Notamacropus eugenii: one gene and its partner. The protein of the gene in region 1 purifies or fractionates together with the protein of each later gene. This does not show direct contact. Links are inferred from orthologs where the notes say so. Each region holds a gene or a part of one and is shown on either strand. Other genes may lie near its edges.

Evidence for each region. The genes of interacting proteins can lie anywhere in the genome.
Region 2: the proteins of ITGA4 (region 1) and ITGB1 purify together in Homo sapiens (co-immunoprecipitation; 4 studies listed by BioGRID and IntAct, with this or other methods). This does not show direct contact. The link is inferred for Notamacropus eugenii from reciprocal best matches to the Homo sapiens genes ITGA4 and ITGB1.

What each region holds. Positions count from the first base shown.
Region 1 is NC_092876.1:245,621,418-245,628,995, forward strand, and holds the start of ITGA4 (integrin alpha-4), read left to right. Parts: upstream 1-4,489; 5' UTR 4,490-6,324; coding exon 6,325-6,521; intron 6,522-7,049; coding exon 7,050-7,171; intron 7,172-7,578. UniProt on the Homo sapiens protein: Integrins alpha-4/beta-1 (VLA-4) and alpha-4/beta-7 are receptors for fibronectin. They recognize one or more domains within the alternatively spliced CS-1 and CS-5 regions of fibronectin. They are also receptors for VCAM1.
Region 2 is NC_092874.1:72,860,994-72,868,866, forward strand, and holds the start of ITGB1 (integrin beta-1), read right to left. Parts: upstream 3,040-7,873; 5' UTR 2,832-3,039; intron 1-2,831.

The DNA.
Region 1 (7,578 bases):
ATTTTTCCTTTTCTTCTTCCCTCTCCCCTGCCCCACCCTAGAGATGGCTACCATTAGACACAAGTAGGTGTGTGTGTGTATGTCTATACATGCATAGACATACACACACACATATATTCGCATATATATTATATTTAGTTATTTTATACATACTTCTGTTTATTTATTATATGTACCTCCATTTATCAGTTCTTTTTCTGGATAGCTTCCAATTGTTCTTCCAAGATAGCTTTCTAATTGTTCTTCCTGAACTCAGTGTCATCTAAACAGGTACTGCAGTTTTTTTCATCTAGGCCCATCTTGAGAAGCCACTAGTCTTTCAAAGCTGAATTCAAATACCACCTCCTGGATGTAGTGTCCCCTGTTGCATGGAGCTGGTAAGAATCTTCTTCCTTGAAACAATCCTCTAACATCACCTTACTGATATCTCTATTATGTATGTCCCAAAGGTTACACATTGACATTATCGTTTTTATGAAAACATATTAAAATGTCTTTTTTTCCCCTCTACTAGGATTATAAACGTCTTGAGGGTAAGGGTTGTGTCTCTGCATGTTAGTGAAGAGAGAAAAGCAGAGTTTGAAAATAGAGACAAAACCAAAGACTATAGTTGGGGAAGGGAGAAGACTTACTCTGAGAATCTTTCACTAATGTATAGCTACTGAAATTAGGGCTCACACCCAATGAAATGATTACCTCACCATTTTTTACTTCGGATGGGTGTAGCTTGGGTACTTAAGGGAAACTGAATATAACTGAATGTCAGAATTGGAAGGGGCCATAGAAGTCATTCTGTCCAACCCCTTCACTTAATAGAAAGAGAAACTGAGATCTGAAGAGATGAAAAACCTGCCCAAGGTCAGAGAGAGGGAAGGCTCTAATTTATTATGGGAAAACCTGTCCTGATTTCTGTGTGTTGAATAGCTTTTGGGTTTGAGAATGCAATAAAGGAAACTCCAGATTAGATTCACTAGCTTGGCTAGATACCAATCATTGCCGCTCTCACCTCCCATCCCACCTACCCACCCAGGTATATATGCTTTAATTATGATATTTCTGCACTCCTGTGAATGGTATGAGGGGAGTTATAATGCCTTTGTCCTTTGCATCTTCTGAATGTGTGAGTCTAGCTGAGCTCCTTTTGTCTCTTCTCCAGAATCAGGGACTTCTGCAAATGGGGATGAGGAAGTCTCTGAGAATATTCTGCCTGAGCCCCTCCTTCTTCCTTCCCTTCTCCCCAACCCCAGAATGTTCTTTGCAAAAGTCACAGAGCCTTGGCCATCAGAAGTCACCAGGGACTCTGCTTTGAATGTTATTTCATGTAAATATATACACATTTGAATATTGATATTTGTTGAATGAAAGAATTAAGTTTAGTATTTACACCTGACTTACGAAATGCAAAATTATCTGAAAAGAAAATTAAAACAAAAGCATCTCCTTGGGTATGAGAGCCTGGTTCTTTTACATAACCATGGTTCACAGACTTCCTCTTCACTGTCTTTTCTGTTAGTGCTTTTGGTGACTTTAGTAGCTTGCTCTCATAGTTCTTCACCTTCAATAACTTTCATCTAGGCTTTGGGATGTGAACTTATCCAGATGTCTTAGCTTCTGTTCATTTCCTCTCCAAGGTACCATAGCTTCTGGCCAACAGGAGTGATGGTATCTACACAACTCCATGTATTCCTTAGTCAGTGCTTGTTCCTGTCTCTTCCAGGGAGTCCAGATGGCAAGGTCAGAGGGAAGAGGGAAGGAAACAAAATAAGATTGCTGTAGCATGAGGATATAATCACTTTACCACATTGCATGACATATATCCTATTGTATGACATAATATTGTATAGATACATATGCATATATACATATACATACATGAATCTGTATATGTTTGTGTATGTGTATATACATATATATGTGTGTTGTGTGTGTATATGTGTGTGTATCTCCTTTTATCCATTTCTTCTTGAGTGATTAGAAGATTTCCAGGAGGATCAATTGTCAAATATTTCTCATTACTCCCTCTATTAGCAGTTGATCTTGCCTGGTATTTTACTGAAAAGATGGGGTCACAAGGTTTAAGCTCCTTCAGCTTATTTCCTCTTTGTTTCAATACATCTCATCCTTACTCCCTTCTATCCAATTTAATTTTTCTTTGTATCTTTGCCCATCTTCTCCTTCCCCTGTGTTTTAAAAGAAAAGGGGTGTGTGTGAGTGTGGGTGTGTGCTCATGCACCTGATCATTTCAAGACCAACCTCTCTACTCTCTACTGTTGCTCTTAACCTGCCCTGTCTTATCTTTCCTTCTCTAGAATGGTGGTCCCTTACTCAGCCCTTTTCTCTTGTGCATCTTCTGTATCACTGCTTAGGTATCCCTTATACTATAATGCAAAACAAACTTTCTTTGAGTCTCTTAACCTCTTGAGCTACAGTCACCACCAGTCTTCTTGAATTATTAGCCAATTCGTATCATCTCCACTTCTTGAACATCCACTGACTTCTTCACCTCTCAAAAACTTACTGTCCACTCTCCATCCCACTGAAAATATTTATAGATCCCAAATGTCCTTCAAAATACTCCTTACTCACCCTCTTTGAACTCTTTTTAGCATGTGACCACTCCATCCTTTCTGAAAATCCTCTTTTGACTTCCATCACCCTGTATCACCTTTTTTTCTACCTGTCTAACTATTTCTTCAGTCTTCCCTGCTCTCTCCACTCATTCCTCCTGAGGAGCCTGACTAGATGACCTCAGAGCTGCCTTCTAGCTCTAATTCCTATGCTCTTAATGATCTTTTATTTGAATACAAACTCCTCAAGGGAATGTACAGTCCATGTCTCTTTAACCCATCCACAGCAACAATCACAGCAAATATTTGTCAAAAGGATGAGTGACCCTAACAAATATAGACCAATACGCAGAAATGAACAGTGACACTGTTTAGTAGCTAATGAATCTTCTTTCAGCTCTCTGACTGCAGTAATAAGGAATTCCCAAACCACAAAGTGTAGGAGAAATTACTTAGGAAAGAGCTCAAATATCTCATTGTACCAGAGCCAGATCCTCATCCCCTAAAAAGCTATGAGAGGCAGTCATGGCTTCTAAATGCATTCCTTGGGTATCTTTCTAAAGGAAGACTTCAGCAGATCTGCTTCTATCTTGCTACCATTAATAAGGCTAAAAGGAGCCATTCTCAGATCTTTGTAGGGATCACATTAAATTTATGATATTCTAAGATTGGAAAGACTGAGTTAATTTTCTAAATTGCTAGAAAGGTTACGTCAGGCCTGGTGCTTCTATTAGCAAAACTTCTGCTGTTATACACACTGACAGTTCCTAGGTGAGTGAATGAAGGAAAAATAGTTTTCAAGGGCTTATTATATGCCAAGCTCTGTGCTAAGTGCTGGAGATGCAAATAGAAAAGCCAGCCCCTCCCTTGTCTCAAGAAAGTCACATTCTAATTGGGTGAGACAACATATATCAGCTGTGTGGCCAACGTAAAGACCTAGGAATCTTTAAAGTGCATTGGCCTGACAGATTTCCAGAGGACATAGTGGAAGGGTTGATGGCAATAATAGTAACAACCAGCATTTATGTAGCATTTTAAGTCTTGAAAAGTGCTTTACATTATTATCCCATTTGATCCTCACAACAATCCTGTAAGATAGGTGCGGGTATTATTATATCCATTCTACAGATGAGGGAACTGAGACTGAGAGAAATTAAATAGCTAGACCAGCATAACAGTTATTAAGTATCTGAGGCATGATCCAACTAAGACTTTTGCTGACTCTAAGTCAAGTGTTCTGTCCACTCTGTGGTTGTCTTCTATCTTATAGGAAGTATTGTAATTGATGACTTTCTGCTCATCTAAGGGACCTTATCTGCCTGGCAAGGTAGGGGAAACGTAACTAGGGTGGTCTGTTCCAGGGTGACTTCTAGATGTTACCACCTTTGAGAAGTAGAGAGAGAGAGAGCCTGAAAACTGGTGTGGGGCCCCAGCCAATAGCTCTGGATTTCCTCCATAAGAATTGGGAATCAGGGTGTCAGAGTTCAGCCAGGAAGGGGAAAAGGTGGGGTGGGTAGGGAGAGCATCTATTTCTTGCATGGCTTGCATGTTAAAAAGTCATATCTGAAAGTGAACCCACAGTTTCATAAATTGTTCATGTCTTCTCCCATTTACCTTTTCTACCTAACCTGATTTGGGGAAGAAAGGGTTAGATGGAGGAGGGGAATCTCTGTACCACTTCATGAGCTAATGTAGGAAGAAGGAAAGAATGTGCTTACGAAATCTTGATGGTGGCCTTGGAGACGCCCTACTCCCATCTGTCAGCAGGGTAGCAAAGTTATTCACATAACAAGGCAGCAGATCACCTGGACCTAGTTAAATCCATCTGTTTTCTGGGGAAAGTCGGAAGCAGGGAACCACCCTTCTAAATCCTAACCTAAGTAACGTATGTCATCTTATCTATACTGCAAGATGAGTTTTGTTAAGTAGATTTTATTTCACTGAGGTTTTATAAAAGGGAGAAAAACAAGAAATACAGAGGTCAACACAGTGGCTCAGAATGTATAAAACTTCAGGCTGTGAAAATAGATCTGGCACCTCTGGACTGCAGATGCCTTCAGCTGAAGGACCTCATGTTGAAAAGTCCTGCAATTTTAGGAAATCATGGCTTTACTTGAAGAACAAAGATGGGATTGGCACCTGGATTAATTCAAAAACAGAAAAGATTGGAGGATAAATTTTCTTACATATTTCCCACACCAAAGATGTCAACATGCTTCCCAAGCCAGAGTCCAAACTAGATTAAATGTAATTGAGAAATGTTTAATGAAATAAATAAAAACTACAATAAAGTATAGATAATGTTAATTTATGATTTTCTAAATCAATATGGGGCTGGCAGGACTATTCAAAACAAATAAAAATTTATGAGATCACATATTTGTATCAGTTCATCTTCATTCAGAGAAAAAGAACTAATTTGCAGGTTTGTTTAATTTGACAATTTATACTCACTCAACCTGATCATTTATACTTATACCACCAAATAAACAAATTGAGGAAGTCTTCTTTTGCACTGCTTTGGTGAAGATTTCACATTCAAATCTTATTGATATGGCAACTGACAAATAAGTGGAAAGTGGACAAATATATAATTTTCATCACTTCTGGAGCTGTTCTTCATTGACCGATGAAGATTTCACAATCCTGTTCCTGAACAGAATCTGTTCTTCTGAAGACAAGAGTAAGTTAAGTCAGGTCTATTTGGAGGCCCAGTAGCAGGGTATTTAAACTGGATTCCTATAACTTAGTGGTGGATGATATTTAGAAAGACATGTGCCTAGGCAATCCTAGGCAGGACTCTGTTTTCAGCTTTGCGAAGTTAGAAAGTTCAACCCTGACAACTTGTCTAGAGAGCTCCACTCTTGATTAAAGTTTTCAATAGGCAGCATTTGCCACTCAGTGTTCCCCCCACCACCCCAACACCACTGACTGGCCTAAGAGGGAAGTGTAAGTGAGGGGTACGGAAATGGGAGTGGGTGTATTAAGGTAAATAGTGGGTATTTTTTTTAACATCAAGCATTGTTCTCAGAAACGTTGCTGTTTGCTTTTTGGTACCTGTGTGAATCCTCCCTCTCCGTTTCCCCGTTCGCCTTCCTTTGGACTTGCTGCTCACTCCTGAAGAAAAGAATTTCTAGAGAATTATTCATTGGAAGAGGCGGAATTTCTATCCCAATCTTTGGGTTTCTAGAAACAGCAAAGCTGGGCAGGCTTTGTACGCAGTAGAAGTTCTTCGCAGAAGGAGAAAAACAAAACTCTCCCCGGGATTCAACTTCTCTCGTTCCCCCTGCGATCCAGATCTAAGTCTAAGCATCCCCATCTGATAGGAAGGCAGAGCAGCTGGGTGCGTGGAACATCTGGACCTACGGAGATCTCCTAGCGCCCTCTGCAGCCAGTCTGGCCTTGGGCCCGTGGACTAGCGGGGACTCGCGGCCTCACACCGCTCCAACTCCCTACCACACCCCTGGACCCACCCAGTCCTGTCAACCAGTCAAGGCGGGAGCCCCCAAACTTCTCGATACAGAAACTGGGCGGGAGGAATCCAAAAGCCCAAGTAACCTACGGCGGTTGAGGACGCTCCGCCCGCCGTGAACTTCCTCCTCCTCCGCCTCCCCCCTCACCCCTGCCAGCCAGTCTGTGTGCCTGGTGGCGAGGAGCCGTAGGGAGACACGCGGTATCTTGGGGCGCTGTTATCTGCTCATTCGAGCACAACTTCTGAGCTGTGTGCGGCTTGTTGGATGTCCCGGACAGGGAGAGAATGGCTTGGAAAGAAAGTGGAAAGGCTGGGCCCCCAGGAGTGGTCATCTGGAAGGCGGTGATTATCCTTCTCTGCCACCGGATTCCAAGGATCCATCCCTACAACTTGGACACGGAAAACCCGCTGCTCTTTAACGGACCCAAAGGGACCCTGTTTGGCTATTCGGTCGTCTTGCACGGCCATGGGGACAACAGATGGTGAGTGCAAATGTCTCAGGGTTTCCCATTTGCGGAGAGGCTTTAAAACCCGCTCCTTGAAGTGACTCCCCGCTTCAAACTTTTTTCTCTCAAAGGAGGAAAGCGCTCAGAAGTGCCAGACATCCTGCAGTGCCAGGGCCGTTGACAGGCGGTTCCCTGATGAATTTGGCTAGGAGTAAACTTTTCTTGAAGTTGAAGCGCCCAGAGGCGGGGGTGGGGGAGGAGTGAGTGGTTCTGTAGAAACCTCGCTTAATTTGGGTACCGTAGGAGGTAAGCACATTGGGCATCTTAAGAAGCGAGTACACTGGGCAGGGTGGGGAGCCAGTCAATCAACAAGCGTTAAGGAGAGCCTATTAAGAGCCTAGAAAGTGGGTTGCTGTACCCTGAGTCGTGAGTCAAAAGTTCGGAGTTGTAGAGCTGTGTGCTTCTCCCACCCCCACCCCCACCCCCGATTTTGCCTAGCAAAATGTGTGGGATGATCTTTTACCATTTCTGTTTTTGCGCCTGCGTGTGTGTTCCATGAGCTAGGCTTGTGGTGGGAGCCCCTACCGCCAACTGGCAAACCAACGCTTCAGTGGTCAACCCCGGTGCAGTTTTCAGATGCAAGATTGGAGAGAACCCTAACCGGACTTGCGAACAGCTCCAGCTGGGTGAGTTCAGTAGGGGAATTGCCACTCATTTGTACCTGAAAGCAAAACGATTTCTTTGGAAATTGGTTGTAATACTTACACTTAGCCTAGAACTTACACTTCTGTATTGAATCACTGGGATTCCCTTTTCCCTCGCTGCCCCTCCCCCTTACACCGCCAAGAAGTTTTCGTTTTTCCACCCGCAGTGAGGTTTGCCTTTTGCTCCAGATAGTAATTTCAAAGCTACTGAAAAGAGAAGATATTAAAGAAGATATCTTTTATTTAAAAGGACAAGTCCTGAGAGACCCCTTCTTCCTTTGCTAATGCTCCTTCAGCCCAGGCACATGCTTTGTAAAGTTTTTTAGCGCAACATACTTTGAAATGAGCCCAGACATAAAGTGGAATATTCTTAAAACCTTCCTGAAAGT
Region 2 (7,873 bases), on another chromosome or scaffold:
AGGAACACAGAAATGGAACTACTTTTTTGATTCAGCATTGGTAATTTTTAAGGACCAAGATTAACTATAAGGGAAGGGAATGAAGAAATCTACCTGATTATTAAAATGATTATTCATAGTTGTTAATTCTCATGTTATTTCTAATGTACTAAACTTTTTAAGGGAAAATATGGCAAGGGAAATCCAAAGGGTCTATTCTGAAAAAAAACAACTCTTGTTTTCATCTTTGTAAAGTACTAATATTTCTATAGAAACAAGCCTGGTGATTGTTTTTTATAAGTCAAACAAATGTATTCTACATTTCTAAGTGAAATTAAAATTATTTTTTGCTTTTCTATCTACCACTTTACTTTCCAACAGAACCAAACATTTCTATATGTTTAAATCTTACAAAAATCAGCTTAATTAGGATCCTAAAAAATGTCCTAAGAGCACAGTAAAAAATGTTTTTATAACAATCATACTTGTCAACTTGACACTTTAAACACACACTTAAGTGTTCTTTTAAAATTATTTAAGTGGCCAAAATTTTGAAGACTTAAGAAGCTGAGCTAGGAACCAGGAGACCTATCTCTTCCATAAACTAGCTATGTGACTTTGGGCAACTCATTTAACTTCTCTGGCTCTCAACTTCTTCCTTTTATAAAATAAGCCTGGATTGCCTGATCTTTAAGATACCTTCCAGTTTTGTGTTCTTACATTTTGTGCACATCCTATCTCATTTTACCCTTCATTTCCCAGTAGATGACAAACTTCTTAAAGCTGAGGACTGCCTTGAGCATTCCCAGTGCCTACAAGTGTCAGGGTTAATACTTCCTGTTTCTGTGGAATATAATTAAATATTGCAGAGACCAGGTCACACTGAAAATCCCTTAGAAATATATCACTTTGTCTTGGAACACAAAAGACACTAACAATCCCAGTAATTCCCTCCCACTCAAAAATCAGTTTGCAAAATGAAGCATTACATTTTATACAGTATCTACATTTTACTCAGGAAAACTTCACTATTTATGCTAGAATTACTTTAATATTAAAAGAAACTGATACACTAAAAGTTCCTAAGCATGATTAGGAAGTCAAAAAAAAAGGTGCCAAATTTTGTGACTTTTTAGTGTCCAATTCTGAGTGTGATACAATGACAATAAATGAATAGACTACACACTGAGAATACAATAAGCAGTTTCCAATTTTAATGAATTTATAATCTATCTGGGGGGATGAGATAAAAGTTGTATACAAATAAGATCATAGTATACCATAAAGCTAAAAGGAACTTTAGAGATCAGATAGTCCAATTTAATTTTATAGATGAAGCAATTGTGGCCCAAGTAACACAACCAGTCTGTAGCAGAGGTACGTTTCCCTACTCCCAAACAACACAGAACATATAGCCCTAGGGCTGGGCCAGCCTTGTCCTCAGGAAGACCTGCTGTTCAAGCCCAGCAATTGCAGGCAGGCCACTTAACAGGCCCACAGAACACTTCAGATGGTAAGTTCAGAGAAGCTGCTGATCTGCTTCAATAGAGGGTGTCCCCACGCTGATGAAGTTACAGCCCAGAACCAAAACAAAACTGAGCACTGTGAAAACCCTGAGTATAGCGATCTATTATTGGGACAAAGGTATGCATTTAAATATTCACTGTCTGTAGTTCAGCAAAGTTTGTGTTCTTACGCATAAAAACCTAAGGAATTTGGGGAAAATATCCAAAGTTCTCGGTTATATTCATGTTCCTTACCTACCAACTTTTTACGCTTCAGGTTTCGTCCCGTACCCATTACATCCATGCCCACACACACTTAGGGGCCATGGTAAAAAAAAAAAAAAAATTAAAAATACAGCACCGGGAATCTTAAGGGGGAATACAACGCCACCTCAACACTGGTATTTTCTAGGCTGAAGGACTTTTTAAATCATAAAAGTAAGAGACAATGGAAAATACAGAAAGAAGGTCTAGGGCTACTTCAACTCCAAAGTCAAGTTCACGTCCATACCCAGCGCGCACAAAGTCCACGGGGCGCCGGCCTCTCCTAAGCCTGGCCCCAAGTCCCAGGGGTGACCACAGAACATCTCCAGAAGTGACAGGCCGCAATGCCACCCAATGCCACCCAACCCCGGCCGGCCTGGAGAGCCAGCTGGGCACAAGTCCGTCCGTGCGTCCGTCCACTCGGGGCCACTGGCAGAGCGGCTCCAAGCCCCAGGAGGGCTCTGGTCCAAGGGGAGCAGAAGGGGAGGAAGAGGAAGAAGAAAGGGCAGGGAGGTGATGGGGCGCTCGGGGAGAAAGAGGGGCGGGTGGGAGAGGGGAAAAGACACGGGCAAGGGGGAGAAACAGAGGGAAAGAGAGATAGAGGGGAAAGAGAGAGGGAAAGAGGGATAAAGTGGGGGAGAAGTGAAGGGAAAGAGGGATAAAGAGGGGGAGAAGTGAAGGGAAAGAGGGATAAAGAGGGGGAGAAGTGAAGGCAAAGAGGGAGCTCAAGGGAGGGCTCGAGGAGAAAAGGTTGCAAGGATGGAAGGCGGAGGAAGGGCCGGCAGCAAAGTGGGGGAGGGCCGCGGCCGGAGCGGGGGAGGGGAGCGCGGGCGGAGGCCGAGTCGGAGGCGCCGAGGGCAGGACGAGCCGGACCCGGCGTACCCCCGGCTCTCCTCCCGGCCCCGAGGCAAGAATTCCTTGCCTTAAGCGGAGGCGGCCCGGCGGCCCCACCCCCACGGCGGACGCCCGCTCCCTCCCGACACAAAGAGCGGGGCCGGGCCGGGGCTGCCTCTCCCTGGGTCCGGTGCGGGCCGCCACGCGCGCCCCGAGCCCCGCCGCCCCCCGCCACGGGCTTCCGCTCACCTCGCCGCCGTCCGCGCGGGGCTCTGTGGGGCGCGCACGCTCGGGCGGCGGGCCGCGTGCTCTGGGCCCGGCCTGGCTCTGTCGCTGCCGCGGCCGCTCCGAGATACTTTCCCGGCTCTCCCGGAGGGCGGGCAGGCGGTGGCAGCGGCTCGGGCTCCGGCTCCAGCTCCTCCTCCGGGGTGGGAGGAGGGGCGAGTCACTCCCTCGGCCTCCTCCCCTTCAGGAAGGTGGCGCGGGGCCCCGCCCCCCGGCCACCGCCCTCCTTCTCCAGCTAGCCAATCCGCATTGTCCTCCCGCCTCTCTCCTGTCCCCTTTCCCGTCGCTGCCTCCTCCGCTCCCCCCTCCCCACGCGGACCCAGCCCCGCATTCCCTCCGGAAACGCATTCCTCCCGGGCCGCGTCAGCCGCTCCGCCGGCGGCTGAGGGAGAGGACGAGGAGGAGTCGACGGGGGAGGGCGGACCGAGGAAGTGGCGGGAGGGCCTGCGGGGAGCGGCCCGCGGCCTCGGGCCCCCAGCCTCAGTTTCCCTGTCTGTCAAAGTCGGCCAGGCTCCCGTCGCGAGAGGGGCTCCGGCGGGTGCCCAACGCCCGCCCTTCCCAGCCCGGGCCGGCGGCGCCCCCTCCGGCCCAGGCGGGCCCCAGGCCCAGGCCGAGCCTCCCTCGCCTCCGGGTCACCGTCTGGATTGGGAGATAGCCGGGCCGAGGGTCTGGAGCTAAAGACTGGAGAGGAAAATAAAGGCTGTGGTCTGGGCTAGACCGAGACCCCTCCGGGCCCCTCCGCAGCCAGAGTGGGGAAACTGAGGCCGGAGGCCGCCGCCGCCCCCAGCCCCCTCCCAGGCCAGCCTGGACTGAGCTGCTTTCGTGCCGTATCGCCCCTCCGCCCTCCCGTCGGAATGGACACTTCTGGGAGCAGCCACTGCTTCCCTTCTTTGCGCCACGGAAGCCCTAATAAATACTTGTTGATTGATTGGCCCCCCGGAAAGAGGAGGTTTGGATCCCTGTCACTCCGGTCCAATTTTCCCCTCCCAGGTCGAAGAAATATTTTAAAACAGGTTTATTAAAAAAAAAAAAAAAAAAAGGAGAAGAAATAGTACTCATTGTGAGAGTTTTTGCATAGGCAGGGTGCTTTTTAGATAAAAGGACTCGAAACTGAATACCCAGGTCATACAGAAACCCAGTTAGTTACTCAAAGCCTACTGCCTGGGCACCATACCATCTTGTGGCACTGAAAATTTGGCTGTTTGGAAAGTTGTGGCTTTGGGCGAAGGGCATCCTGAACTGTAGACTTGAAGCTTAAAGATCTTATTTCTGATGGAAAGAGGAGGGCAGGAATACGCTTGGCAACCCAGTTTGAACCAAACCTATAAGGAAATATAGCTGTATTTGCTTAGATGCATCAAAAGATGAAAATTTTACTTAACACTGGTAGAGTGAAATCTACTTCTTTGCCCTCATGAGGTGAGAATTACTTTTTCTACTTGAAATTAGCATTGGTAAAATGGATGTAGCTCTACACCTGGCATTAGAAAAGATATAGGTTAAAACCTTAGGTCTAATAAGTACCAATGGTGCAAATTCATTTGATCTTTCCAAGCAGCAGTTTTTTCCCCCATAAAAATGGAGAGACTTCTCTTGAGGAACAATGAGATAATGTGTTACAAAGTGGTTTGCAAGCCTTAACTTTATAAATGTCAGTTATTATTAGAAGAGAATAAATGGCATTTGAAAATATATGTCCTACTGGTAAAGCCACAGAGAACATAGATCCTTGGATTTGAAGAGGATTGTATCGTTACACAAAATTAGCAACACCTGTAACAGCAGAGGAAAACCTTATGGTTTATTCAATTATCAAACTGGAATTAAACCTTTTAGCTTGGCGTGTTAAAAAAACAAACTTGTATTCTTGCTCAGCTGACATGTGATATTCAACTACAGTGTTTGATTTAATTGGTGTTCAATTAAAAATTGGAAACTATGTACTTATGTTCAGCCTCAGGTTAGTTATTGTTGCTATTTGACAATTTGATTTAAATTTCTCTGTAACTGTTTCTTGAATGTCAGGTGACGTTTCAGAACCTAAAAGATTTTCATCTTTCAGAGTTGAGTAAAATATCACTTAATGTTGGCAAAACAATTATCTAGTGCTATACATATATATATACATATATGTAATATATGTATGTATGTATATATATTGTGTTCAACTGGATGTTACAATTGATCTATTAACAGCATGTTACTAAATATGGTGCCCCTTCAACTACTTACGTACTTTTGATTCAAGTAACCATTTTTAGTGCCTACTATGTATAACGTCGAGGACCAAAAGACAAATATGTGAAAGTCCTTGGCTTAAAGGGACTGCTGTGGAGATACAACATGTACATAAATAGTCTAGGACAAAGAAAACCATGGAGGAAAACTGTAACAACCTAAGGCAATCAGACAATCAATAATGAAGGGGGAGGTGGCGCCTTAGCTGAGCTGTGGAGGAAAGAAGACCGATTCTGAGAAGGGAAACTGAGAAATGTACAGACCAGATATGGAGAAGAACATGGTAAGAATGAATAATGTACCAGAAAGTTGGAGAATTCAAGGAACAGAAACTTCTTGAAGGGGAGTAGTATGAAGCTGTAATGTTAATTAGAGAGCTAAAGATCTTCCCCAGCGATTGATGGGCCTGCCCATTAAGGAAAGCTTGATTAGGGGAGGCCCACCCCTTTTGTTACTTTCTATTGAGGCACTGGGTTAGAAGGTGCTGTCCTCTGGCTCTGAAAAATGTATAAATACTTTGAGGAGAGGTTTTGTTTTGGGGCTTACTCATTGAAAGTGTTTGGCCAGACAAGACTCTGGGCAGCCTCTAAGGAGCCCCCCGGCTTTGAAAACCCAGATGCTGGTGCTTCTCTGTCTAGTAACTAAGTATGTATGGTCAGACAGTTGGATCTCTCTGTTGATCTGTGTTGTATGTATTGCTTACAGTCTGTCAGTTGGAAGCCCTGCCTGCTGATTATTATTTCTTTGTATTTTCTCTGAAGGTCAGAGAGCTGACTTTTCCCCCTGAACTAAGTGAATGATTCATGTGCTTGATTAAAGTGATTGTTGTCCCCTCAAAAGTTGCTTTGCTTTTAGAAAAGCAGGTCTAAGAACTTATACAGCAGATCCTCCTGTGTATGCCAGGGTCCTTGCTGTTACAGAAGCAAAGCTAGAAAAGTTGGTGGAAATCAGATTGTGGAGGGTCTTAAATGCCAAACTAAGGAATTTATATTTTCTTCTAAGGCAATGAGGAGCTACTAGAGATTTTTGAGCGGCATGGTCAGTTGTATTTTAAGATCATTTTAGCAGCTATGTTTAGGATGGATTGAAGGAAGAGACACTAGAATCCTGGAGACCAGTTAGGAGGATATTGCAGTAGTCCAGTGAAGAGGTAATGAGGTTCCAGATTAGAATAGTGAGTCTGTAGGTGGAGAGAAGGGTACCGACAGAAGAGATTTTGTGTAGCTAGAAGCAATAGGCACTTGTTAAATTCTAGGCACTCTGAATACAAAGACAAAGAAGAAACGGTCCTTGTTATCTGACAAAAAAGAGTTTCCCTTCTGTAGGGTGGGAGACTATGTAGACAGATAAGCATATACAAAGTAATTTTGGAGGGAAGAGCACCCACTAGAGCAGGGAGCAGGAAGACAGGATCAGGAAAGGCCTCAGAGGGGGGAGCGCTTCATCAGAACTTTGAAGGGAGTTCAGGTCTTTAACAGGAAGAAATATAGTACAACTTTGTATAAAGGCAAGGCTACAGGGTGCAGCTGATTTGGCAATAGACTGAATATGAAGGAGATGGAAGGATCAAAGAAGGTTATGTGGTTAGAATTTGGGTGACTGAGAGTATGTTTCCTCAACAGAAAGAAGGAAGTTTGGAGGGGTAATAGGTTTGGGAAGGAGTGAAATATATTCTACTTCGGACCTGTTGATTCTGAGATAAATACAGGACATCCAAGAGAAGATATCTAGCAGGAAGTTCAGGGGAGAGATTAAGACTGGATATTTATACTCGGTAGTTATTTGCGTCCTTGAAAACTGTTGAGATCTCTAAGAGAATTTATATTTGCTTTTCTATGCAAATATTGGTTTGTGTGAGTAGATGTCTTTATTTACTGAAACCCAGACAGGCATGTATATGTATGCTGCTGTGCTTCATACAATAATTCTGCTGCCCCGTGGTCAGTAGTTCATACCCTTTATGCATTTTTTGTCCAGAAATGGTGGATGGATTTTAACTCGGGTTCTCCAATGCATTCGCAAGATATTTGATGAGGAATGCTGAGTATGGTGTTAGAACTGTAAGATACTAATACATAATCTGATTGATGCTTACAATAGCACTGTGGAGTAGGTAGTACAAATATTATTATACCCGCTTTATAAAGGACAAACTGAAGTTATTAAAGGTTAAGTGATTTGCTCAAAGTTACATGGCTATCATGTGGCAGACAAGGCTGGAACACCAAGTCTTTTTTTTAATCATTAAATTTTATTTTCAGGAAGATCTATCTTTTCTCCCACCTTTCTCCTCACTCCTGATTAAAAAGGCAGCAAAAAACAAACAAACAAAAAAGCCCCAAACCTCCTCTTACAAACTTGTACAGTCAAGCAAAACAAATTCTCTCCTTGGCCATGTCCCCCCAAAATAGGTCTCAGTCTGTGCCGAGTCCTCTCTATCAGGAGGCAAGTAGCGTATTTCATCATGATTGCTCTGGAACTGTGATTAGTTATTGTTTTGATCAGGGTTCCTAAATTTTTCAGAGTTGTTTGTCTATACAGTATTATTGTTTTTATATAAATAGTTCTCCTGGGTTCTTCTCATTTCACTCTGAATCAATTCATGCAAGTCTTCCCAAATTTCTTTGAAATCATTCCCTTCATAATTTCTTATAGTACAATAGGTTTCTAGCACAATTATATACTATAATTTGTTTGGCCATTCTCCAATTGATGGGCATCCTCTTGAACCTGGTTCTTTGCCACGACAAAAAAAGTTGCTATAAATA